Drosophila melanogaster: one gene and its partners. The protein of the gene in region 2 purifies or fractionates together with the protein of the main gene of each other region. This does not show direct contact. Each region holds a gene or a part of one and is shown on either strand. Other genes may lie near its edges.

What was found.
Region 1: the proteins of Scp1 (region 2) and CG14207 purify together in Drosophila melanogaster (affinity purification with mass spectrometry, with the first as the bait; one large-scale study listed by BioGRID). This does not show direct contact.
Region 3: the proteins of Scp1 (region 2) and Tsf1 purify together in Drosophila melanogaster (affinity purification with mass spectrometry, with the first as the bait; one large-scale study listed by BioGRID). This does not show direct contact.
Region 4: the proteins of Scp1 (region 2) and Pgk purify together in Drosophila melanogaster (affinity purification with mass spectrometry, with the first as the bait; one large-scale study listed by BioGRID). This does not show direct contact.

Annotation. Positions count from the first base shown.
Region 1 is NC_004354.4:19,603,196-19,611,216, forward strand, and holds the start of CG14207 (uncharacterized protein), read left to right. Parts: upstream 1-2,003; 5' UTR 2,004-2,308; coding exon 2,309-2,487; intron 2,488-6,267; coding exon 6,268-6,294; intron 6,295-6,942; exon of another isoform or gene 6,943-6,967; coding exon of another isoform or gene 6,968-7,059; intron 7,060-7,185; coding exon 7,186-7,267; intron 7,268-7,332; coding exon 7,333-7,428; intron 7,429-7,500; coding exon 7,501-7,695; 3' UTR 7,696-8,021.
Region 2 is NT_033778.4:2,965,019-2,970,043, forward strand, and holds the start of Scp1 (sarcoplasmic calcium-binding protein 1), read right to left. Parts: upstream 3,035-5,025; 5' UTR 2,966-3,034; intron 2,327-2,965; exon of another isoform or gene 2,299-2,326; intron 2,174-2,298; 5' UTR 2,129-2,173; coding exon 2,077-2,128; intron 1-2,076.
Region 3 is NC_004354.4:18,385,374-18,390,873, reverse strand, and holds Tsf1 (transferrin 1), read right to left. Parts: upstream 3,791-5,500; 5' UTR 2,926-3,790; coding exon 2,826-2,925; intron 2,751-2,825; coding exon 2,508-2,750; intron 2,301-2,507; coding exon 1,205-2,300; intron 1,143-1,204; coding exon 758-1,142; intron 695-757; coding exon 593-694; 3' UTR 530-592; downstream 1-529. Other genes in the region: Nt5b (5' nucleotidase B), read left to right, coding at 1-79.
Region 4 is NT_033779.5:2,747,039-2,754,679, reverse strand, and holds the start of Pgk (phosphoglycerate kinase), read left to right. Parts: upstream 1-1,611; 5' UTR 1,612-1,685; intron 1,686-1,839; exon of another isoform or gene 1,840-2,235; intron 2,236-3,690; exon of another isoform or gene 3,691-3,766; intron 3,767-4,532; exon of another isoform or gene 4,533-4,601; intron 4,602-5,366; exon of another isoform or gene 5,367-5,468; intron 5,469-5,887; 5' UTR 5,888-6,298; coding exon 6,299-6,360; intron 6,361-6,424; coding exon 6,425-7,369; intron 7,370-7,427; coding exon 7,428-7,641. Other genes in the region: Bacc (bacchus), read right to left, coding at 1,020-1,265. UniProt on the Drosophila melanogaster protein: Enzyme of the glycolytic pathway. Glycolysis is essential in glial cells but not in neurons; neurons rely on the citric acid cycle for their energy needs, and on lactate and alanine secreted into the hemolymph by glial cells to fuel it.

The DNA of each region.
Region 1 (8,021 bases), on a different chromosome or scaffold from region 2:
GAATTTATGAAATCAAACAAAATTGATTTGAATGATTTGAAAAGGCACAAAATACAATTGAATTAAGACTGAAACGTGCACGAATGTGCAAACTTGGAATCCTCTTTTCAAAAATTAATTTTGTTTGAATACCGATATGTATGCTTTGTGGGGACACTGGGGACTTCAAGGTCGAGATTATTGATGAAAATGAGTTTGTTGTTTGGACAGGGGGCATTAGCCATTAGCCATTGCGAGCATGTGGGCGCTGTGAAAAATACATATGTACATATGTACACATGTATGTATGGATGTACAATGAAAACACCTCAGCCGTTAAGCCACGATGATTGTCGTTTTATTTTCGAAATTCGTGATTAAGTCTATAATTATTTTGATGGCACAACTGCCGTTGTCCCCGATGGAATTTCGAGCAGTAAAACGGTCACGGATTCAAAATATTGCATTTTAATATGTCGCACTTGCACTTAAAAAAAAAAAACAAAAGAATGTAAGTTATGTGCAGGCAATAACAGCTTTAAAAGATATCAAATTTCCAGCTAATGAGTTTTCTTATGGATGAGAGATGCAATTGTTAAGTTGAAGAAAAATCTAGTTTGTCTAGCTAAATATGCATATGGTTCATAAAACTTATGAATATATATCGCACATTTTTTCTGCAGTTGCAACTTTGCAATCCGGCTCTCATTAATTTCAATTTAAATTTTAATTCCCCTGGCCGACGCTCCCTAAAAGGAATTGAATCGAATCGAATGGACTCGACTTGGCTCGATTCCCGATTCTCGACTCCGACCGCCAATGTCACGCGGCTGAGTCATTTCGCATTTGTTTACAAACAAACCGATGCGGCGGAGTGGGTAGTACCATGGATATGGCCAAGCACACTGGCAGAAAACGACACAGATACTAAGATACTATAATGCCTCTCTGTTAGATTAGGAAACATATCCTATTATAGCTAACAAGCTTACAACAGTACAATTTCCAATCTTAGCTCAGCATAGAGATATTTAAATTTACATATGTATATATGACATATATTTTTCTGCGTGTATTTGGGCCGCCAACGTTCTCCACCCACCCGGTCTAATATTGGGATTTATCGATTCGCACAATGGGCGGAATTGGCTTTTTGATTTAAGGTCTTAATGATGATGAGCTCTGGGTGTAAGTAACCCCGCGAATATGGACAAGATATCGTGGGCCATCACGCCATAGATGTTCTATTTTAGGACGATGGATAATGCCAACCCACCGCAGGACGGAAAATGCACTTTCCACCAATGTGCAACTCTCTCTCTCTCTCTCTCTCTTTCTCTCTATACCGAAGATCATTTCCCAAAACGGTAGGAAGCGTTGATCGGTTAACCGGTTAACTCAACACGACTCATACTCACACTTTCCACTCGCACTCACAGCACACAAATGCTGAACCAGATGCAATTGGAATCACAGTTCGAGGAACTCACTTCCATGACTGAATGGCTCCCACGCGAGAAGTTTTAAGCATACTTATCAAGATCAAGTTGATCATCAACTAATTAATTGTTGCTAATTGAACACTTGTTCCTAGAAAGTTTTTTAGGAGCTTTGAAATGTGTTATGTTATTTCATTGCATTTATGAATTACTAGCTTATTAACGGAAAATAAATCATGGCTTCCTTGTTTTCGGTCATTTTGTATAAACCAAATTTGTCTTACAACTATTGTTTCACTTCTAAATGTGTTCCCCGTGCGTCATTATTTCCATAAAATACAAAATCAATACAGCGAATATAGTGTTTTGGGTGGTCCGCTAACGATTAGTGGTTAAAGTACGCTTAAACAATTCCCTTTGCGGATAGAAGTTCTTTTTGATCCAATGGCAATAGAAACATAATCAAATCCGCAAATCGATGACTAAATGCGGCTTCATCGGTCTATCGATATCGCCACACTGCTGCGCAGCGGCAATCGAAGTACAATCGGTACGAAAGCTATAAAAGCAAAGACACACTGTGAATGCAAAACAGTTCAGAAATTGAAACGCGGCTATCTGTGCGATACGTCCAACCGAAATCACACACTTGAACGTCTTGAGTTTCGAATACATATAGAAAACCCATCGAGTTCCCTTTTTTTTTGGTTGCTCCGTCGATTAGCAAGTGAACAAGCTCGAAAGCGCGTTGAGCAGAACAGAACAGAACAGAGAATAATAGAACGGTATACAGTATATACAGTATATACGGTATACAGTGTACAGCGAAGAGATTGGAGATTCCATCTAGCGAAGCAACCACCAAATAAACCACCACAAACAGCACAACAATGGCCGAGGCTAACAAGAGGAATATCCCCATCAAGCTGGGCGACTTCAGCGTCATCGACACGGAGTTCAGCAACATCCGCGAGCGCTTCGACTCCGAGATGCGCAAAATGGAGGAGGAGATGGCCAAGTTCCGTCACGAGCTGATGAACCGCGAGGCGAACTTCTTCGAGTCCACCAGGTAAGCGTAATAGTGATACAAGTGGGATCCCAACACTGGGATAATTCCACATAGCCTGATTCTACCGGGTGTACTGCGATGGAACCCAATCCCGAATCGCTCGACTCATCGCCTCGTTGTTGGCTCCTCTAAATATAGGCGCACATCTTGCCACATCGCCCACTGGTCTGGAGCTCTTCACCCACAGATTCTCCTACGTATGTACATATGTACATACGTGCATACATACATATGTATGTACTAAACAGTGGGCCTCATAGGAGGCGAGCGGCCCGCTTCAATTCTCGCCCCAGATACACTATGTGTATTTCTTTGCCGTCGCTCTGGGGGAGGATGAGTCACCAGTTCTAAATTCTCCGCCGCTGTCTCCGGCCAAGAAACACATGTGTATCTGCTGCCCGCCACCCGCTAGTAAATCCCCCTCCCCCGCCCCGGCACATGGCTAGCCAGCGTCTTGTGCCCTCCCCTTTCGCTCGATCTCGAGTCCCATACGGTTTATGCAACCGTTATGTAGGGCATAACGGAATTTTTCGAACTTTGAGAATCACCTGTGCCAAGATATTCCGTTATATGTGTGTGTGTGTGTGGGTTTCTAGCTGAGCAGAAAAATGTAATTGTTGATAATGAGATAAGATATTAAAATCTGGTCTCTGCGAGCAAAATTAAATATTTGAAAACGCAAAGCATTGAAACGATCGGTGGCACACATGAATAATGTTCATTAAATCTCTAACTATTTCCATTTGTAGTTACTTGTTTTTAAAGCATACATAAGTGACAAACGCGTTTACCTAGCAATCTATTTCCATTTGCAAGTCAATTAAGTGATTCGGCGGTATTTTAACACCCTCGCATATTCATACGAATCAGAGAGAGGGAGAGAGAGAAATTCCAGTTGAATGTTACGAGTGGCATTTTCAATGAACATAGGTTTATTGCCCAAATCAGCGATTAATAAACAAACAATGCCCCAAAGGCGAATGGCAAATACTATGTCGCCGACGCCGTCGCGGTTGCGCGTCTCGTTAGCCTTTCCATTGGAGTTGCGTTGCGTGGGCGCCAGTTTTGGTTGCTATTGGGACGACCTCGCCGTATGACGCAATCGAACCGATGGACTCTATTTGTTGTTGCCTTCGCCATGGTCGCCACTGCATTTGCATGGCCACAACAGAAATGTTACGACTCCACCCCCCTCCCCCCCACCAGACTTCCGTCTGTTTCAGAACTTGGTAGCGCTCCTCTCCACAACTTTGCCCATTCAACGTCAAAGTTGGCAGTGAAAGGAAATTAACCCAAATTGGTATTGTGCCCTCCTGGCTGCAAATTTAATTGGAAATGAAGGGAAACTCACAGTGGCGGCATAAGTTGTGCGCCAGGGCTTGCTTCGGGCGATTAGCCTAATAATCGCCACAGATTGGCCACGTAGTTTAGTAGCTTAGTAGTAGTATTGGATATATACTTGCCAAATAATTCAATCATTCGCCCATAACTGCCCACTGTCCGCAACCTTTGACCTAAGCGGCTTGGCTGTGGCTGTGGCGTGTTGTCAATTGAAGCGCTGCGTGATATCTGAATGACTCAGCACGGAATAAACGCACGCCCCATATACAGGGCAATAAATCCATACAGGTAGGTGTATCTATGCCCTACCGAAGTTGCCACTTGAAGCAATAGTTTATGCTTTTAACTGGATACATTCCCAACAATGTATATTTTATTATTATGGCATAAGAAAAACATGTTTACAAACATGCAATTCCTGCGTAGCTGCCAAAAGCTGTTCAGGCCATTTGCACATTTTAAATAAAACTTTCTTGAACATATGTATGTATATACATACATATGTGTATGTATGTACGTACTGTCACATACTAACGATAGATTGTGTGTAGTGCAGGGCCTCATTTAACCAACTTGGCCATAAGCAAAGACCGCACATCAATGCTGGCGCCTTCAGATATGAACAATGTGCGGATTCAGATGGATTTGGATGCGGTTCCCAGTAAAATAGATTGGTGCGATTATCTCATGCAAATGCATGGAAATTGTATTGGCCAGATCGGATCGGATGGGATGGGATGGCTACCAAACATAGGCAATGCCAACGGTTTGCCTAATTTATAGACTCATTGTGTGTGCGCACAGTTTAAACAAATAAGTGCGCTAGGATCGTACATACATACATACATATGCACATATTTAACCAGCAAATAGATCTGTGCGAAAAGCTTTCGCACACACGGACAGTTTTCAGTTGCGATGAGCACACGCTGCGGCGATTTAGTTGCCAATATTGTTGGCTGGATGCTGATAATTCAAATGAGCAGCGAACTGCGATGATATCATGTCAATTTTTAGCTATTGCGCTGCGCTTCGACTCGATGCTATTCAATTCGATTTCAATCGATGACAAAACGCCGATCGTCGTCGATAATCGATATTTTAATTCGACATTTGTTCACACACACACGCACACACGCGTACACCGCAAACAACTAAAGAGAGCCATTTTGTTTGCGCTTGTTCTGGTTTTTTGGCCGCCTCTCGCGCCCGTGTTTATTTTCGTTCTTCTTTGGTTTCCTTTCGTTTGGCTTTTCAATAACGAAAAAATATGCATGACATCATTGTCATCAGATGCCAGCGAGATATTGTAGTCGCACCACACACACACAACTCACACACATGTAAAAACGTGGGCTGGCCGGAGAGGGTGGGAGTGAGAGCGGCTGCCAGAGTGGGAGGGCAGGTGCCTCTTCATGCTGTCCAAAGAAACTTTGGCCAGGCGGCTAACGGTTATTGGTACTTATCATTAGCGCGCTATTGATTTCTCTCTTCGAGGGGCGATCAACCTCGCAAAGCACATTGCAAGGTCGCCAATAAGCCCACGCACGTTCACGTTTCGGCTCCGATTGATAAGCTTTCTCTGCCTCTGCTCAGAATTTGCGGAGTGCCAATTGATGGCCGCTTATCAACGACTCTCGCTCGCATGCACACACACACAGATACACACATACATTTTGGCTTCATCGCCGACACGCACAGCGGCTTAACGGTCAATCAAATCCCGTAAGCTAAGAATGCAAATTAAGGTGAACCATAAAAAATATTTAAAAAAAAACGACTTACCTATCAATTGATGTGAGAGTGAAGTGAAGAATACAATATTATTTAAAATGAAATCACAAAATTTTAATAAGTGTAGATTTACTAATTTGAACTAAAAATAAAAATTATTGTGAAAAAGCAGTGCGACAAAATGTAATACAAAGTGAACAATTATGGACCAATGAATTATTTCCTGGGTAAATATGTAAATATTTTATGCATACTTTCCTCTATTGTAGGTAATATACATATTCTTTTTTTTTAGATGCTATGCTTGAAACACTTGGATCTTAATAGATAAACTTGCATTCTAAAGGAAATTGGGGACTGGAAGTGCGGAAAACAAAGGAGTTATCATTAATATATGTACATATGCATAAGAAACATGTACCAAAAATGATTAAATATTAATTACAAGAAAACATATGAATGGCTTGAAATTTTCATTGATCATTGTTAAAAATTCCAGAACTTTAATATCGAGTCAAGGCTGTACCTTTATAAAATAGTTAAAAAATTGCTCACCCTTGTACGATAATGTGTAGTTATCTTTTTGTCTAACTCATTATAAACAATTTCTATCTATTTTTCTCTTTCTTGCCGCTTGGAAATATTAAACAACCGCAATAATTTCCACATAATAATAATCTCCTCTCCTCTCTCTTAAAACAAAAGCTCTACTAAAAAAACAACAACTACCAGGTACAATAACGTAGAAAGTTTACAACCTAAACTTTTATTTTCTGTTTATCCTCAATGTTTTTTTCATTCACTCAACCCCTTATTGTTTGGTAACTAATGTATTGGTTTAATGTTATTGCAATCCACACAGACTAAACTAGAAACTCGTTACCAGATGCATCGCATGTTAATCGCCAAATATACACTATAACATTTATTTATAAACAATTTTGAGCCCGGTATAGACGCAAATACATAACTAGAAATGCATACAGTTCGTTTAAAACTAAAAGATAAAATTATAAAAGTTGTAAGTATAGGCAGTTTTTCATAATAGAAAACCGTTTTGATGCGATCCATACATACATATGTACATACATAGATACATATGTATGCATACAATTTCAAGGAAGCAAGGAATAGTTTTATTTGTAGTCTAGATACATGAAGCCTTAATTCTCAATTCCCTTATGGGTAGTTCCTTAAAATAGAAATTATTACAGACATATGGGGAGATTTATGTTTCGAGGGTGACAGCTGCTGCCCCCAGATCCGTACACATGTACATACATACATACGTACATCGCTTTCAAGCGGAAGCCAGATCTATTATTAGACAGGCGTCGAGCATCGCGGCTTCATTTAAGTTGGGTTCGTTACGTCCGGATCAGTTTCATCCCGGAGAAGCATCAGCATGGAGGCCTTTACGCGCACACTGCAAAATACCTTTCGCAGCACTAGGACCACCAGAACCACTACTACAACAACCACAAACTCCTCCACCAGGTTCCTACCTCACCTACGCAACCCTAACACCTTTGGTTTTATTTCGAGTCTACTTGTTCTTAAGTTTCGCTTCAACACTCAACTGCAATACTCATGTACAATATGTTCGTCTCAACTTATTTGCAGCTCAACGACAAACTCGGCGCTGCCATCCCGAATCCCAAAGCAACAGAACTACGTCTCCGACATTAGCTCACCCTTGATCCAGGTAAGCAATGCAAGGAATCTACTCTTGGTTGCCAAAGGATAACACTTATATATCCCCCTTTGCAGGATGAGGGCGATAACAAAGTGCTGAAGCTGCGTTTCGATGTCAGCCAGTATGCGCCCGAGGAAATTGTTGTGAAAACCGTCGACCAGAAGCTATTGGTAAGTCTCTGCTCAGGATGGTTATGTTTTGCAGAGTTTATCTAACATGGATATCTGATTCCTTTCGACTAGGTGCACGCCAAGCACGAGGAGAAGTCGGACACAAAGAGCGTGTACAGGGAGTACAATCGGGAGTTCCTGCTGCCCAAGGGCGTCAATCCCGAGTCCATCCGCTCGTCCCTCAGCAAGGACGGAGTCCTGACCGTGGACGCCCCCCTGCCAGCACTCACCGCCGGCGAGACACTGATTCCCATTGCGCACAAGTGAAGGCCAGCCCAGTTGTCCAGTTGTCCAGCTATCCAGTCACCATGGTCCCAAGCCGGTTGAGGAGCAATAGGCGCAGGAGGAGCAGGAGGAGTGCGAGCTGCTGCCGATCAGATTAAATCCATACACACATTGAGTTTAATCCAATCCTATCTAAATGATTAATTTTTTTGGTTCTGACTTAAAGCTAAACTATGTTACTGACGTACTACTCATTAACTTAAATATAATTGAAATTATTATTAAATTTGATTAATTTAATTCATATTTATAATTTTCGCATTAAACGTAATCAATTTTGCCGTAGTTGCCCCCCATTGGTTTTCCTT
Region 2 (5,025 bases):
TTCAAGAAAATCCTAAAGAAAAGCTTCTGGCCAAGGTTGAGTGGATTAGGATTAATATTTAGAAGATCAGTCTGAATCGGGACGAGATCGTGAACAGTTTTAAATTTAAGACAAGAGATAAAAAGAATGTCTTGTAATAGTATAAGTGAAAAGGTCTATCATGAATAAAATATTAAATTATAATAAAATAAAAATTTTTTGTTCAAATAATTAAAAAGGAACACTTTTAATTTGCACAAAGATTAATATTGTAAACCATTAACAATGAATATAGATTTCAGTGATTTCATAGCTTAGCGATTGGAGATCCAAGCGAACACTCGAAAACCGTGTTGTCTGAACACTCTGAAATATTTTCCCTACGACCAAGTGAAGTTGAGGTTGCCATTTGGAGTCCACAAGAGTCCCATAGGCATTTAGAGAGATTTAAAGCTCGGCTTAACTTAGCCTAATATAATTTCGGTTAATGATCAACATAACCTAGCTGTAACCTGCCGTCAGAGTGGGCGTGGCAAAGAGTTTTGTGGCCAATCCATAGAAATTTTAAAGCCTAATAAAAATATGAAAAAATGAGTGTGCGTCTTTATCTCTAGAACCTGTATGGTTAATTTCAACCTTCTAGCTTTTATAGTTCCTGAGATCTCGACGTTCATACGGACAGATGGACATGTCCGCTACTGATCCTGATTAAGAATATATATACTTTATATAGTCGGAAACGCTACCTTCTGGCTGTTACATACTTTTCAACGAGTCTAGTATACCCTAGTATACCCAATTTCTTAGCAATATGATAAAATAAAATAATAATTACGAATTTACACCTTGAATATATCACCTAAAGTACGATATTGCAACAAAACGACTTTAATTAAATATATAAACTAGGTTATATAGCGAAACTTTCAAAAAATAGAGAAGCTCGGCGTATAGTCAGCTTTAATCAAACGGATAATAAAATAAAATAATAAAATTTTAAATTAAAACATAACTTTTCCAAAAAGAAGTCATTACATTGAGGAAAAGATATTTCACAAAAATAATAAGTAGTAGAAAATAAATATTTATAAAATGAATAAAAATATGAAAACTTTTTATTGCAAAAGTCATATCTTGAGACACGAACACGTTTATTGCAACAATGATTGCCTTATTAATTTTTCACAAGGGGCAAGTGAACGCCCTAATAACCTTTGTTCTAATATAGTCATCTTTGAAATTTATTTTGTGATATTATGTACATATATATTCAAATAATAATATAGTTAAGGCAAAGAAACTAGACACTAGGGTCTTTGGTTAAGGCCATGCAAGCCAAGAATTTTTTACATGTTGCCAATTAAACAAAGATAATACAGATGTAAAGTCTATGAACTTGTAAATTGTCAAATTTACAATGCATTACCATACAGTTGTCGGCTGTCACTGTATGCGTAGAAAAGAACTGCTGAGCCACCTCTGGAGCCATCCCGATAAAATTGTGTGCAAAAAATTGTATGGCGTTACGCATCTTGTTCTTCAAATGTCTTTGGCTTAACCTCATATAAGCTGCAATGACCACTTGACCGGTTCCATGTGACCTCATTTTAACGGATTATAAAACTACATCATAAATATGGCGCAACATTTAAATTGCCAGACTTGAGATTGTTACATAAATCTGATCCGCAGCAATTGTAAATGTTATTTTTATTGTATTTGTGCGCTTGCAAATTTGATTAATCCTATCCAAATACCCTTTCAGTAATTACAAAAACATATATGTCTACTTAGCACCCATAGTGTTAAAAAACGAAACTTTTATTTATATTCTATTTTGGGTGTTTAATTTTCAAGCAGTTCTTAATGCAGCTATATGATATAGTCGTCCCATATTAAATAAAATTAAAATAAAATGTATATATTGTTAAAATATCGGATTTCGGATAGTTCCGAAGATATGTATAAAAATGGCTTTATGTATTCAATGCAATGGAATATAAACTTAAATTTTTTGTATAAAATATACGTAAATTTTTAAGGTATTTTAATTCACTATAGGATACGTTTAATAAGCCTAAGTCCTTTTCTACTCACCATACATATACCGAACGACAAAATCGACACGGTTATCCCAGGAATAAGCCATTATGACGGAATTTGTTTGGAGCTTATCCTCATAAAATGTAAATAGCTAAAAGTAGAAATACCATTACTATCTGAACTAATAAAAGTCTATAAATAAATTAAAATTTTTTGGTATCTATAAATAGTACTTTTAGGTAAAAAGTTCTTGAATAGTAAATATGAGCTCCTTACCTTCGGAATAGCTTACTTCAGACTAACTAAATTTGCTAAACCTTTTGCCAAAAGTCGTACACTTTGGCAACATTATTTACATGGTATGTATCTAAACATTATACATACAAATGTGTATTGTATAGAAAGTGCATTTGTATATATTTGTTCTCTTTCAAAAGGTAGTTTATTTTTAATTAGGAGTTTCCATTGTACTAAATGTAATTATTGTATTAAGTAAACTATAGCACTGTTTTGAAATCACAATCAATAACAATTCAGTTTTCTACTACCAAATATTAAGCCTACCTGTTACAATGTTATTCGTGAAAGTTTCCATATAGATTATGCTCTAATTAACCATTTAAAATGGAAAAAAAGCGAACAATTCACCCCTATTTAATTTTGTATTTGAACACTAATAGTAAAATATATCAAAAATCATTTTAACATTTAAAGAATTGATAATTAATTGACATGATTATTAATAGAAAAATATTTACTATTTTTGCAAGCTTACACACATGTATATTCACAAGTATATATTTATAGTACATGCATAACCTATTATAAAGCACACATTTTATAAAACTCACAATTCTTATTTTCGGTTTTATGTACATATACATATACATATATAGGAGATACAATATTCAACATTCAAATGTACAGTTTTATGTCTTATTACCATTGTGATCGGCGGTCTATAGTTGTCTATTACTGTTAAGATATAATATTATATAAAAACAATATATATACATATAAGAAAATATATATATGTTTTTATGCCCCATACGTGTAGAGTAAAATTAGATTCGTTGATTCTACGTGTAACGGGTATAATAATATAAAACAAGAGAGAAGGCTATAGTCGAGTTCCCTGATTATCAGATACCAGTAACTAAGCTAGGGTCAATGCTAACGCGAAAGTTCATAATTTTTCTGGAAAATCGATTGATATCGATTGATTGATTGATATTAGAAAAAAAATAAAATGAAAAAAAAATAAAAAATTGTTAAAAAAGTGTGGGCGTGACCGGTTTGGTGGCTTTAGGGCGTTTGAGTGGGCGTGGCAAAAAGTTTTTTGGCAAATCAATAGAAATATACACGACCAATAAAATTATGAAAAATATCTAACAATTTTTCAAAAGTGCGGGGGTGACCGGCTTGTCGGCTTTGGGGCGTTTGAGTAGGCGTGGCAAAATTTTTTTTTGCAAATCGATACATTGATCCTGATCATGAATATATATACATTTTATTGTCGGAAGCGCTTTCTTCTGCCTGTTTCAACCAATCTAGTATACCCTTTTACTCTATGAGTAACGAGCATTAAAAGAGTTGGACTATAAACTTAAGTGAGAACATCGTCTTTATAAGCTGCGAGTCTTTAGCTGTCGGCTGTGCTGTCCTTATTGGCAGAGGATCGACGTCGGCTTCTTGGAATCACAAGCGCTGGTGGGAGCGGAAACAATTGCCAAACACATTTTGGGAAATCTGCTTGGTGGCGCTGAGCTTGCATATTTGGGGTTTGTTACTCTATTACATTCTGTTGTAGACCGATGTTGAATTCATTGTTATTAACTTTAACTTTCTAATTTATGTAGGGAATGTTATTGAACTGAGGTAGCTGATGTTAACTTTTGTTTCCATTCCCGGTATAGGTCTAAGCTGCAAGTTTATGCTTCTCTTCCTTTGACTATAGGTGTGAAGGCCCAGGATGATAATCAGAGTATTGTCGAAGAGCGTCAGTAGGGTTATGCTGTTGGCCTTTTATGTATATGCAACGGTTCAGTGTTTCAAGAGATATAACCTCAGTCTTTCTTTTTCTTCATCTGTAAATTGTACAAGAGGCGAACTAGGAGACAGGGCTGTAGGTTCCAAGTTGGCGAATCCCCCTGTTGTCGATAATCATCGAGTCGTTTGATAGCTAAACAAAGTAGGTGAAGCTCTGTGAGGATCCAGGATATGATTCCATCGTAATCGTTTAATAGGATGATTCCGTCGTCGACCTCTTCCATTCTGGATAAGTTGTCGGAGTTGCTAAAACTACACAGATCTTTCTTTCCCAGAACTAAATTTGGAGAGCAATCAACTAATTTAATTAATTAATTTCTTATATTTACAATTTTTTTCTCATCGCATATTTATATATGTATATATAGGTAAGATTTTCGAAAGCAAAGATTTCTTGAAAGTCTAAGTTGTTGTAGTTCTGTTGTTTTTAACTATTGGTTTTACAATGATATCTTAGTATTTCTATAAAGTTTGCGACTTTTACGATGTACAAATGTGTTGTCTTATTATGTAGAATAGAGACCTCGGAAAACGCCATAGCTTCTTTCATCGATAGTAATAACATGTTGTTTCCCTTAAATATTCTTTCTATTTCAATTAATTCATCTTCATTTAGTACTAGTGTGTTACGACCTCTTGTCGCGCCCACTGGATGGCAGTTTCTACTTTTAGGAGTCTAATCTGGGTTTGTAAACTAAGAGCAATTTCTAAACGAACGGAACTGCCCTTTTGTATAGAAATTGTTAGAGCTTTAGATACTGTAGTCAGTTTGTTTATTCTTTCTTGTTTGTAAACAATGACTTGTTGGTTATTGTTGTCAATGAGCTCTGCTCTATTATGACCAGGTCATCGTGATCTGGAGTGGCCGCTATGTATTTTCACCTGGGACCTAGCCAATTTAAGAACTATTATTATTGATAATTACGTATTTCCCTTTTCTTTTTATTATGATTT
Region 3 (5,500 bases), on a different chromosome or scaffold from region 2:
GGACTATTCCGAGGAGGAGGAGACACCCAGTGGTGCCGAGTCTTCCACAGAGGCTGTGCGCGATGCCTCCGAAGACTAGATGATGCCACAGCCGCCCTTCTGGAATGGAATGTTTGGATCAACGAATTTTATTCTCAAACTTCCCCAATGCCCCCATTAGCCTTGCAAACCCTTACCCGAAATCCACACCGTGGTCGAAGCAATTATGAAACGTACGATTTTCCCTGGCGATTTTACCCAAGCACAGATATGTGAAACTATATACCATAACCGATATATATATATATACATTATACATTATAAATTAGCTGGTTCCATACATATAATGTGTCTTTTTTTTTTAAAAATGAAAACCATAAATTGCTGTAATTGAATGAGAACAATTCGTTTTGAATAATTCATGAGTGGTGTGAAAAGCCAATTGGCTGGGAAACTTTGTAGCATTGTATTTGGTAACTAGTTAGCCATATTTAATAGGTCTAAACTTTTTTTTTCGATTTTCCCTTAAGTAGGCATTAAGACGTGATATCTGTTTATATTCGAATTAAATTTTATTGATGCAGATAGTGGGATCTAGTAGTATAAAATGTGATCACTGCTTGGCAATCTTGTTAGCATTGCACTGGAGATCTGTGTAGATCTGCTCGTTCTGGATTTCGTTTTTGAGCTCCGTGGTGAGCTGAACGGCTTTGTCCTGCAGAGAAAGTTGTTTTCTTTTTAAACGCCGAAGCTTAAATAAGGAAAGAGGATAACTTACGTTGAAATACACATTCTTCTTGCCCTTCTGGAATTCGCCGAACAGAGCGAAAACATCCACCAGCTTGCCGCGGGCACCAAACTTGTCCGAGATCAGCGAGAACAGATGCTTCACTGTCTCCTGCTCCACGCTGGTGGTGTCCGATCGGATGAAGATGGCACGGGGCAGCTGTACGTCCACGTTGCAGTCACGGAAGTCGGTGACCGGTCGCCGCTCCAGACTGGGGCACACCAGCTGCGCGTCCTTGTGCTTCTCCAGCTCGGAGGCGGGCACGATCTGCACCTCTCCATCGTCGCTGGATGAGACACGACAAGCGTCCAGGCCACGTCGCTTGTTCAACAAGGCGGCAGCAGCACGGGATCGTTCGCAATTCTCATTGAATTTGCTGCGGAATATTGATAGTATATGTAGCTAATGTGCTACGGATGATCGAGGGATTCCACTTACATGCTGGCCTTCTGGAGAGCCTCCCGTGTAACGCCGGGTGCTGCGACCGCCACAAGGACATCATCCTGAGCCCTCTGCTCGTAGACGATTGGCTGCAGCTGGTTGCTACGGGCATCCGCGTAGCCAGTTGCGCGAACAATGGTCAAATCCGCCTCCTTCTTGGTCAGAGCCACCACACAATCGGTGGACTGAACGCACTCGAGTTCCGGACGAGCGTCGCGGGCGTAGGCAGCCTGGTGCAGCGCCTGGCATTTGGCGAACTCGTCGTCGTTCTGGGCGCACAAGCGGATCTTCCTGATGGCACTGCCATCACGCTCGATCACATCCTTGTAGCCGGCACGCTCCAAATAGACCTTGGGATCGATGGCAGCATCCTTGCTGTGGTACACGGCATTCGGCTGGATGAGCAGATGGGCGGCGGCGTCCTTGTTCTGCGCCTGCAGTCCATTGGCGAAGAAGCGCTCCAGACGCGACTGCAATTGGTGCAGCTGCTCCGAGTTGTGAACGGCCTGCTCGTTGGAGATGTAGCCGCTCCAGGGGCGCTGGGCCCAGGAGCAGGCGGGTCCGGTGACCGGGCGCCGGGTGCCATCCTCGCACAGATATTCGAAATTCTCCGGATTGCCCTCCGCTGGCGGCGCATCTGGGCCGGCACCCGGCAGACCAAAGTACTTTTTGATGTACTGCACCTTGGAGAAGGCCACCTCGCCCTGACCCTTGTCCAGGCAGCGTATGGCGCCATCATAGCCACTGAACTTGTCCGGATAGTTGCACTGCTCCGGCTTCTCGCACAGAGCGCACAGATTGGCGTACTTCTTCTTCAGCAGGCGATCCGTTTCCGGATGCGTGGAGTAGGTGCCCACCAGGCACGACTGCGTGAAGAACTCGGACAGCGACTTCAGTTCGCGCTCCGTAGCGGAGATCTGCGGATCGGCGGACACCTTCAGGACGTGCGTGTTCTTCAGCTTGGTGATGGGGATCTTGTAGCCGACGTTGCGGCCGAAGCCAGTGTGGCAGGACTTGGCGCCACGCAGCTGCTGCAGGGTGCGAATGGGGGAGTCCTTCTTCACCAGGATAATGCCCTCGTAACGGAAGGCGGCTGTCGAGAAATGAAACCAGTAGGAGATTTATGAGTAAAAAAAAAGGGAACTAGTAACTATTTTGGTCCTTCGAGCCTTTTGCTTCGAATCGCAAATTAACAACAAAGGGCCATTAGTCATTAGTCAGTACTATACATTTTAAATACCCTTTAATTTCATTCGAAAGCATTTCGCATTTTGCTCCCACGAGCATTTGCACCACTTACCATCCTTGTCCTGCTGCGTTCGGATCTCAGAGATCACGCGATAGTCCTCGTTCTTGCGATGATAGGCGATGTACATGTCCTCCGGCTCGGTGGCCAGCACATCGGCCTTGCGCTGCTCGATCAGCTCCAGGCAGTCCACTCGATCCCGTCCAGCCACGCACTCCATGCGGATGCCCGCCTCCGAGGGATCGGCCAGCAGCTGCTGGCACTCGGCCAAATAGATTTGCGGCACACACAGGCGATCTGCCGTTTTGGGTTCGTATGAAATGGATTCAACTGGTTAGATGCATTCAACTAGTGACTCCGGGATGCACATACAAATGGGTTCCTCCGCCAGGGAGGACTGCGGTCCAAGGATCAGCAGGAGGGCGGCCACCGCCAGTGGCAGCCAGGTGTGGGTCTTATGCGGCGACATCATCTGAGAAACAGTTGAAGCTCGACTGTGGAGAATCCGGAGCCGGCTGGTGGCTTTTATAGCCACCCAGATGTGCTGCTTCTTTCCCCGGCTTTCGTGCTCTTTTTTTTTGCACTCGTATTTGTTCTCTTTCGCTTCTATTTGCCCGGCGACAAGGAGGCACAATAATACCAATACCAATACCAATAATAATAGTAATAATAATAATAATAGCAATCATAACAATAAAGAAAGAAAGACAGTCCAGGCGACCGGTTTTTCCCCGAGGAAAGGCGTGAGTGGGCGGCAATCCAGGCCTATATACTCCGGCAAACGAGTTTGCGACACTGATATATGGCTATGCCATTAAATGCGATTTTCGCAAATCAATTAGTATGCTACTCAATCCATGATCTACCTTAAGTTCGACTTTTTGCTTGTCTTCGAGACAATATATAGTATATATAATCGACAATATAATCGATCAAAATCAGAATTTAGCCTGCAGCATTTGTGTGTTTGGTAATTAGTTTTGGATCTTGGCAATAATCAAACAATGAGCCATTGAGCCATTGATTCATTGAGCCAGCGCTTTCTCTTGACAGAATTTATTTAGGCACACACACTAATTTCTTAAGCACATTCTTTACGAACATTTAAGCTGGAAAAATTGCAGTGAATAGGTTTTAAAAATAGCCTATTTAACTATTTGATTGCGATTGTCAAAAAGCGTAGTTGCTGACATACAGCTAAAATCGAGATAGAAACGGCCTGGCTGCTCTTCACTTAATTGTCTTGGCACTTGATCCCCTAATCGATCGAGCCATATACTATATACCTGAATAATTTGATGCCACCGCACCGACTGGCACTTGGTTATTTGTGCCTATTGAGTTATATAAATGCACTGGTGCCTTCAATTTCTAAGAACTCACTACCCTGCCAAATAAACGGGCAAAATCTTCTCTAGTCGCTTGTAGTTGCAGCAACCGGTTGAGTCACCACGGTGGGAGCGACGAGGAGCCAGCCACCACCCCATCCCCATCCATTCCCAATCCATGGATGTTAATCATGCGAGCCCTTAGTCCCAGGGGCATACGTACTTTAGTCACTTATTTTAGTTCTGTTTTTGCCAGCCCATTTTTCATCATTCATTTGCATTTGCATTCATCTAATGATTCGGCTACTTTAAATTCACTCTTCTTGGAAGTAAACAAATTAAGAGTAATTGCCTTTTATTTATACACTCCGAGGGGATATTTTTTGAATTTTTAATTGGACGCATAACTACGATCTTGAGATGGCCAATTTGAAAAGTGCAAGTATTTATTATGATAATTTAAATGATTGCACTGCGTTTAGATAATTTGCAAGCAAAATCTAGATTTATATGTTATGCGAAATTGTTTTATATTCCTAAAAATGCAGGGGATAAACTTCGAGTGGATAAACTTGGAGCTCATTTAAGCTTCTGCAAAAAGTGAGAGTATGCGCTATTCGCATATCACTCACATTCGCTTTCGCACTCGTCTCTAGTTTTATATACTTCAATTTCGCCCCGCTATCAGGGCATTTGTTTATTCAGGCCGGGCACAGAACCTGTTCCACGATGGGATCAGATCACCTAGCTAGTCACCCGCACCGGCTCGTTGCAGTAAGAGCAACGAAGAGGAGCTGTGGAGAACTGTCCACATCCAGCAGAGAATTGACGAACTGCTTAAAATGCAGGCCGTGCCTCCTCCTTTGAGGGAGGGGGCGTGGCTGGGCAATGAGTCGCGGGGGCGGCAATTGAATGATGAAGTGCAAAACGAGATCACAATGGCAAATGCCGTGGGACTTGGGACGTGGGCGTGGGCGGGGATCTTTCTAGTGGAATCGAAACCAGAAACCGAATTAGATTGCTTGGCAGTGCCGCAGATGCAAACACACACACTTCGCACTGGGCAAGGTCAAGAGCCCCGGAGCGGTCGGGAATTTACCCGGATCGCAATGGGTTGGGGATTTTTCCGAGTAGTCCGAGGTGGCCTCTTATCAGCAGTCCTCTGGCACGGAGGCTATCTGCAGCCAGGTAATAGAAGGGAGGTAATGGAGCTACGCCCAGCACAAAGTGTGTTTGTCAGCGCAAAAGCTTCGTTGCATTATTTAACCGCACGGAAAAGGCATTCATCAGGGAAATTGTATGCGATAAAAATGAAGCACTGCTACTCACTTATTTTAAGTACAAATTGCAAATCGAATGGCATTTTTGAAACAGTGATACTTACTATTTTAAATAAAAGTATATAACAAAATAATATTTTGTTAAATGTGTTATATATGAAATGAAAAATTCATTAGCTTTAACTTAATGTAGAATAATTTGTTTATAACACTTTTCATTTTTTACATTTTTGGCATGCATTTACATAGTTACATAGCATTTCAAACTGCAGTTATGGCGCGAAAAAGACACTGTAACTTAACAGCACTCGCTCTGTAGATGCAAGCACTGCAATGCAAGTAAATTTCCAGCTATACATTTGTGGAGCTTAAGTGCATCTGCTTTTTGTACATTCTAATGTTAAACTTGTTGAACTAAAAAATGATAAGAATGATAAAT
Region 4 (7,641 bases), on a different chromosome or scaffold from region 2:
CCAACTAACTTTTGCGACACCCTGTTTAGCCGTCTTGTTTTATGTACTAAAATAAATACGCATAAGGCAGAGCAGAAAAAAAAGTGAAAGATAAATGTAAGCACATACGCAAACAGACAAAACGGTGTGTATACAAATTACGAGGGAGAGAGTTAGCAGCGCTCTCTATTTGTATCTATCTTTCTCCGGGGAGAGAGAGAGAGAGCGAGAGAACGCTCCCGTTAAACTGTACATTTTTATTTCGAGTTTGAGTCTGAGAAAAGCGCTTGATTTGCCAATTTATCTGCCTTACTGGCCGAACTATTTTATTTTTATCAAGAAATGTGCTACTCGATTATGGAATGCGACTGCTTCAGGCCCCCAAAACTTGTTCGAATACCGCGTGCTCTTGGCGATACTAACCAAAAATAAAGTGGCCAAACATGACATGAGTAATTTACCGGCCGGCAATGTGTGTTTTCATTGAGAGAGTGCATTGGCATCGCGCTGAATTGCGTTTGCGTTTGCATTTGCAATTCCCGTAGCCACAGCGACTGATAAATAAGGCCAAGCGTATGAGTTATAGACGTAATGCCACAATGTATCTATTGCTGGGTAACGCTGTTCAGCGGACACGTCAATGCTAATGACCTATGGGTTTATTAAAAACACATTACCCACCCCACCAAAGAAAAGGCCCTGGCTAACTGTACTCCCCGCCTATATAAGCACGGCGGCCCTCCTAACCTCGATTTGAACCTAACAACAATAATCTTTGATTGCCGGACCCGCAATCATCTTGGTTAATCGTAAACAACACAAACGCACAACCGAGCCAGCTATACGCTCTCTCTTTTGGGGGCATATGTAAGCCATTGGGAGAGTGCGCTGTTCCGAAAAACGTGTGTATATCTATTTCTAGAATTTTTCCTCGAACAATGCTATGCTACTGGCATATTGGCTTGGAGTGAATCATTAGAGGGGCCTCCTTTTGGTTTTACCGCGTAAACAACTACCTAGTCACATAGATCAGTACTCACTTCTGCTGGCCTCTTGGTGCCTTTCACGGATTCCTTTGCGGGGGCAGCGGCGGCGGCATCGGCGGCATCCTCGCCGTCCTTTGACGTACCGTTGTCGGCCGCGTCGCCGGCGGCATCGGCAGCAGCGGCCTTATCCTCGGCGGCCGCCTTCGCCTTGAGATCGTCCTTGACAGCAGACACATCATCTGCCGCCACCTTCTCCACGGCCACATCGCCGTTGTTCTGTTGTTCCGTAGCAGCCGACATATTTGAATTGGTTTCTTTGAGGTTTTCCGGAACTATTTAGTTTCTGCGTTATATAGAGAACAATTCGGGTTGGTTTTGTGGATTGTCTTGTTGTTGACAAAAAACCAGCGCAAAATACTCGGGGAAGGCGAGAGAGAGACAGAGAGAACCGCACCGAACGAAGCACACAAACACACTGAATGCGATTCAGCTGCGGGCCGTCTATTTAAGCACTGCCTCTCGAGGAGAGAGTAACTTTCTTTAAACGCTCTCGCTGCTCTCTTTTTCGCTCTCCCCGAAATCGTTACGACGCTCACTCGCTCTCTCTCTCCCACGCCATTGGCCCATACAATACACTCAAAAAATCGCCGCGGCATTTGTACAGCCGCAGTCGATAAGACAACAACAACAGCCCAGAGCAGAGCGATCGTTGGATTTTTGGTATATTATTTTGCGGTGATTTTCTGATAATATAGTATCTATATAGTAAGGCTTTAGGAGGTGCCATATATCAGGCGGCGCTACGGCAGGCAAAAGGATTTACTCGTAGGCCCCACTGATGTATGGAATATCCGTTTTCCTTTGGTTTGCTAACCACCGATATGTGCTCCCGTCGACGGTTCGTACAAGACTGAGCTTGCCGTCCGTTCGATGGCTAGAAATTGCCGCTTGCTTCTTCTTGCGCCAAATCGGTTGCAGACATTTTTGCCTATAACTTGAATACCTTTGTTCGGATCGGTTCAGAGACTGATCGAGGCTATAGCTGGTAGTATCCGCTTAATTTTGGGCTTTTTCCCGAGGCGCTGCGATCAAAACTAGATCCGCAAATGACAAGTTGAGTGGGTTTCCTGATTAATTCCATACAAAATCTGCTTGGGTTCCGTGAGTACGGTTGTGGGCGCGTTTGGCGGTAAATTTGAAAATTGCGCGCGCCAGTGGTGCGCTTGTGGGCCTGGGGGCGGGGTCTGGGGGTTGGTAGCGGCGATGGTGGTGTGTGGTGTGTGTGGTGCAGTCACTCTGTGGCGTTCTGACCGTTCGTCGGTGGAACAGAACAGAACAGAGCAGAACAGTGGATGTGGATGTTGCCGATGGGAAGAAGTGTTGCAGCATTGTTGCCGCAGATGCAGATGTGTGTGCTGTGTGTTGTATTCAGCACGGTATTCGTATTTATAGAGTGGACCAGCGTGGGACGCAATGTCGTCGCGGATTGGGGTCAATTGATTGGTAACGTGTGGGGAAGCAGGTGATTTTCGCGGACCAGGAAAGCGGGCAGCTATTTTTGAGATTCTAACTATTTAGATGCACGCAATCGGGGAAATGCTCTATTCCGGGATTATGCGTCTTAAAACTAGAATTAGAGAACTGGAGAAATAGCAAGAAAACAGCAATTTGCAACCCCATAAGATTCGAAAACATTTAAGGGTTAGTTTTCGAAATCGGCAATTTCCAGAAATATTAAACATCCTTAAGTCCTAATGGCCCCACCAAAGACTTCGACTTAAATGCCAATGCCTATCACTCGTCGAATTGGGTCCACCCTTGACTCTTTTTTCATGTGCCAATCTTTCTGTTGATCCCGCACTTGTGGTTCGACCATTTGATGGTGATGGCTTCGTTCGCCGCACGAACCCAGTGGGTTCAGGAATCGCCCAATATATGGGAAACTGGAACTGCCGAGTAGGCTATAACATATCGCCCATATCACCTGGTAGTCAACGTGCTCGAGTTGTACTGGCTCTTCTCTATAAATCTGTGTTATCAGTGGGACAATCACTGCGAGGTTGATCTTCAAGTTCATTCAAAATGTGCACATTAACGAGCGGAATAACAACCCATAAAGTAATACTAGAGGAATTCGACCGGAAGACATAAGGTTCTTGGTGCTATTTCCAGTAGCCTATCGACGAAAGGGTAATAACTATCGTTTGCCGGGTATCCAACAGTCGAGTTTCGATTGGACAGCCTCTCACGCTTTCAGCTATTTTCGTGCGAAAGCAATGGCAAATACGAATACCTAGGCTATATATCTGGTAATCTGAATAATACGGTCGACGACAGAGCGAGCGGACGACTGTCGACAGGCGGATCGCTAATTAAAACCGGCGAACATGTTCCGCGGCATCCCAACCGAGGCGGCATGGTGAACGTAAACACCTGTAATCGTGGCCCGTCGTCCACTCAGTTATCACATATTTGAGGAGCAGCGATGACTTTTTGCCTGAACATCGCTGCCTGATAAGCCGATTTGCGTCTCCATTTCGCTGTGCTTCCATGGGCCGCCTACCGTTCTTCTCTGGCTGTCACTGTCTCACTTTCCGTCCGCCGAACTCTCAGTATCCGTTCGAGTGGCTTGACGCTCGTCGGCCCAAGATTGGTGGGTCTCTCGCGATACGAATAGTCGTGCTCATCGGGCTTGTGAGACCACCTCTCGGTGTTGAACAATGGTATCTAGATTCCTGAGGACAACCTGTGCCAATTTCTCGAGTTATCGGCTTGGTTGGTACGACCGTAGTTACTTCAAGGTTAGACAACGGTTTCAAATGCAGGCAACCACCGGGTAGGTAGGATCTCAAGCAGGCAGAAATGGATGGATGGTCCTGCTTCCCGGAACCCAAACATCTGTCGATTCGGAAATTTTATGGCCCTTTCGAACACGAAACTAACGCAAGGGATTTTTCCCCGACCGTTGTCGTTACTGACCTGCCTCAGGAATTTCTCCCAGTGCACTTACACGTTGTTGCGTCATTAATTTGCTGTAGCATAAAGGTGCGAACAAATCTCAATGCAAACACAATCGATAGCCAGACGCTTCAGCTAGCATGTGTATCTAAAACACACACATCAGCTTGTATTCACGGCGATTAAGTTTTTCGCTCTTTCAGCTTAATGCGGTGCTTAATAGATTTCTTCTAATCGGGTTGTTAGGCTTTTCAAAAACGGAAGTTTCAGTTCTTTTGACAGCTTTATTTCGATATGATATCATCGATAGCATGGTAAACAATGTATGAAGAGTAGCGCAGCTCACCGTTCAGATACAAAACCAATTGTAGCGCATACGAATAGCCACCATAGGCTGTCCCTTCTAGCGCTTAGGTACCCAACAAGATGGCTGGGTGGAACAACATGAACAGGTTTACGACTCGATTAGAGTGATTGTTAGACTGTTGCTAGATGGGCGATTCGCTTGGTCGCTTGGCTGTTGTTTGGCTGCTTGACTCTCTGGATTCTTGATCTCTAGCGCTAGCACGTCATCGCCGTCGCCGTCGCATTGGACACTTTCGGAGTCGGGTCTCGTTTTCCCGGCATGTGCTAATGTTTCCACACGAGTGCCGGGCCACATGGACGCGACTCGACCAGGTATATGTACTGGCCCGGCTCACCTGCTCGCCTGCGTTTCACCTGCGTCAACGGGCGGTTTACACGCAATTATTAAAATGAATTTAAGCAGCCCCATTGTCTTCGATTTCCAATACCACCTGACCCAGCAGCAGCGCCGTGGTGTCATCACCAGTGGGTACCCGGGTCCTCGGCGGTGCCTTAATTGCGCAGAGCACCACAGCCGTGACGTGTGAGTGGACATTCTTCCGACGGCTGGCTGAAGGATGAAGGAGGACAGCCGCTACCACTGCAATGCTGCATCTGAAGTGCCCCAAATAGGCTTATACGCACCCCAGTCTCCCAGGCAGCCACCCAAAACCCCATCAGATATGGCAATCTATCGATTATTTTAGTGATGTGCTCACATTACAATTGGTCCTTTGGGCAGATTAGTTCTTTGAAAACCCGCCACTTTGGCTAGAAAACCCCCGAATGGCCAGCAACCAACCCAACCTCGTTCGTTCCCATATACCTTACTTTGCCATCTGCGTCATGCATTTCGCTGCACTGAGCACTTGTGGTGGGTGGTGGTGTTCCGTGTGCTGGGTGGTGGGTGGTGATGCGGTGGGTTAGCGTTTGGTGGTGCCAGTGCCGAGTGCCGCCGGTGGTTGCTTGGACCGCCGGAGATGAGTAGAGATACAGAGTGGGCAACAATGAATGAATCATTGGGGGAAGAGGCGGAGCCATCATCATGGCATCATAAGCGGAATCCGTTTGCACAGTCAAAATAAAACAACGGCCACCGAGAAAGATTGTGTGATTTGACTTTGTTGGCCTCAACAGAAATCATTTATTCAATAATTACATATTGACATACAAACATCAAAGGGGCGGCTGTTACATACGGTATGGACATATGTATGTACGTCGTAGATTATTATTATTTATTAAATTTTTTTTTTATTATTTTTATAAATTAATTATAAATTTTTATAAAAAATCACTAATTCGGACTTTCAGTTAAAATTTAACAGACATTCAAGGGTGTGGAAGAAAAAAGTTCTAAGGGGTTAAAATTTATTATAAAAAATTTATTAAAAAAAATAATTTTTATATGTATTTAAGTGAAAATATTATATGAACGGTTTCTATTTAAGTTAATATAAAAAAAATTGTATACTGTAAATAGCAAATGATCAATTAAATGATCTAGTCAGAATATGCAGACATTTATTTTGTTAATTTTTAGCATATGATTATCTATGGACAATATTTAAATATTATGAAAATAATGATATTTTAAATAATAGATTTTTAAATTTTAGAATTGTGTGGCCCCTTTTCGACACCCTTGGAACGGATGCTTCACAGCACTGTGCTGACAGCACTTACCAACACTGCTTGGGCGCCAAATACAGAGTTGCATTTGGAGAGTACAACTTTTATCCAACTTTCGAACGAGAATACAATCCGATACCAACTTCGGACTCCAAAATAGGAGTATACCCAGCTGGATCCTGCGCATGGCACCTACCAATCGGCGGAAAACCGCTTGCCACGGATTGACGCCCTGGAAGTGGAGATGCAACCCTAGCAGCTCACCGACAAAATGACCTTGCGCTGACATTGCCGCACAGCAGTTGAGGACGAAGAAGATTCGCGGAATCAGTGGTATCGCAATCCGGAGTTTGCTAGCACGCACAGGAAGTATCCAGAAAATCCAGAAAAATCCAAAGATGGCCTTCAATAAGCTGAGCATCGAAAACCTGGACTTGGCGGGCAAGCGGGTGTTGATGCGGTAATCCAAAGCCAATCCTCGCGTGAAATTCAGTTGCATAAACATTGCCCGTGCTTCTTTGCAGCGTCGACTTCAATGTGCCCATCAAGGAGGGCAAGATCACCAGCAACCAGAGAATTGTCGCTGCCTTGGATAGTATCAAGTTGGCCCTTTCCAAGAAAGCCAAGTCGGTGGTGCTGATGTCCCACTTGGGTCGTCCCGATGGCAACAAGAACATCAAGTACACCCTGGCACCCGTGGCCGCTGAGCTGAAGACCCTGCTTGGCCAGGATGTGATCTTCCTAAGTGACTGCGTCGGCAGCGAAGTGGAGGCCGCTTGCAAGGATCCCGCACCGGGATCCGTCATTCTGCTGGAGAACGTCCGCTTCTACGTGGAGGAGGAGGGCAAGGGCTTGGATGCCAGCGGCGGCAAGGTCAAGGCCGATCCTGCCAAGGTCAAGGAGTTCCGTGCCAGCCTGGCCAAGCTGGGCGATGTCTATGTCAACGACGCCTTCGGCACTGCCCATCGCGCCCACAGTTCCATGATGGGCGATGGCTTCGAGCAGCGCGCAGCTGGTCTGTTGCTGAACAAGGAGCTGAAGTACTTCTCGCAGGCCCTGGACAAGCCACCAAATCCCTTCCTGGCAATTCTCGGTGGCGCCAAGGTGGCCGACAAGATCCAGCTGATTGAGAACCTTCTGGACAAGGTCAACGAGATGATCATCGGTGGCGGCATGGCCTTCACCTTCCTGAAGGTCCTCAACAACATGAAGATCGGCGGTTCCCTGTTCGACGAGGAGGGCTCCAAGATCGTCGAGAAACTGGTGGAGAAGGCCAAGAAGAATAACGTGCAGTTGCATCTGCCAGTGGACTTTGTCTGCGGCGACAAGTTCGCCGAGAACGCTGCCGTCAGCGAGGCCACCGTGGAGGCCGGAATTCCCGATGGACACATGGGTCTGGATGTGGGTCCCAAGACCCGTGAGCTCTTCGCGGCACCCATCGCACGCGCCAAGCTCATCGTGTGGAACGGGTAGGTGTCACACTGAAGCTACTTCTCCAAATGTCCTATAATGGTTTTCCCATTTTAGACCCCCCGGTGTCTTTGAGTTCCCCAACTTCGCCAACGGCACCAAGTCCATCATGGACGGCGTGGTGGCCGCCACCAAGAACGGCACCGTCTCCATCATCGGCGGCGGCGACACTGCCTCTTGCTGCGCCAAGTGGAACACGGAGGCACTCGTCTCGCACGTCTCCACCGGAGGCGGCGCTTCGCTGGAGCTCCTGGAGGGCAAGACACTGCCA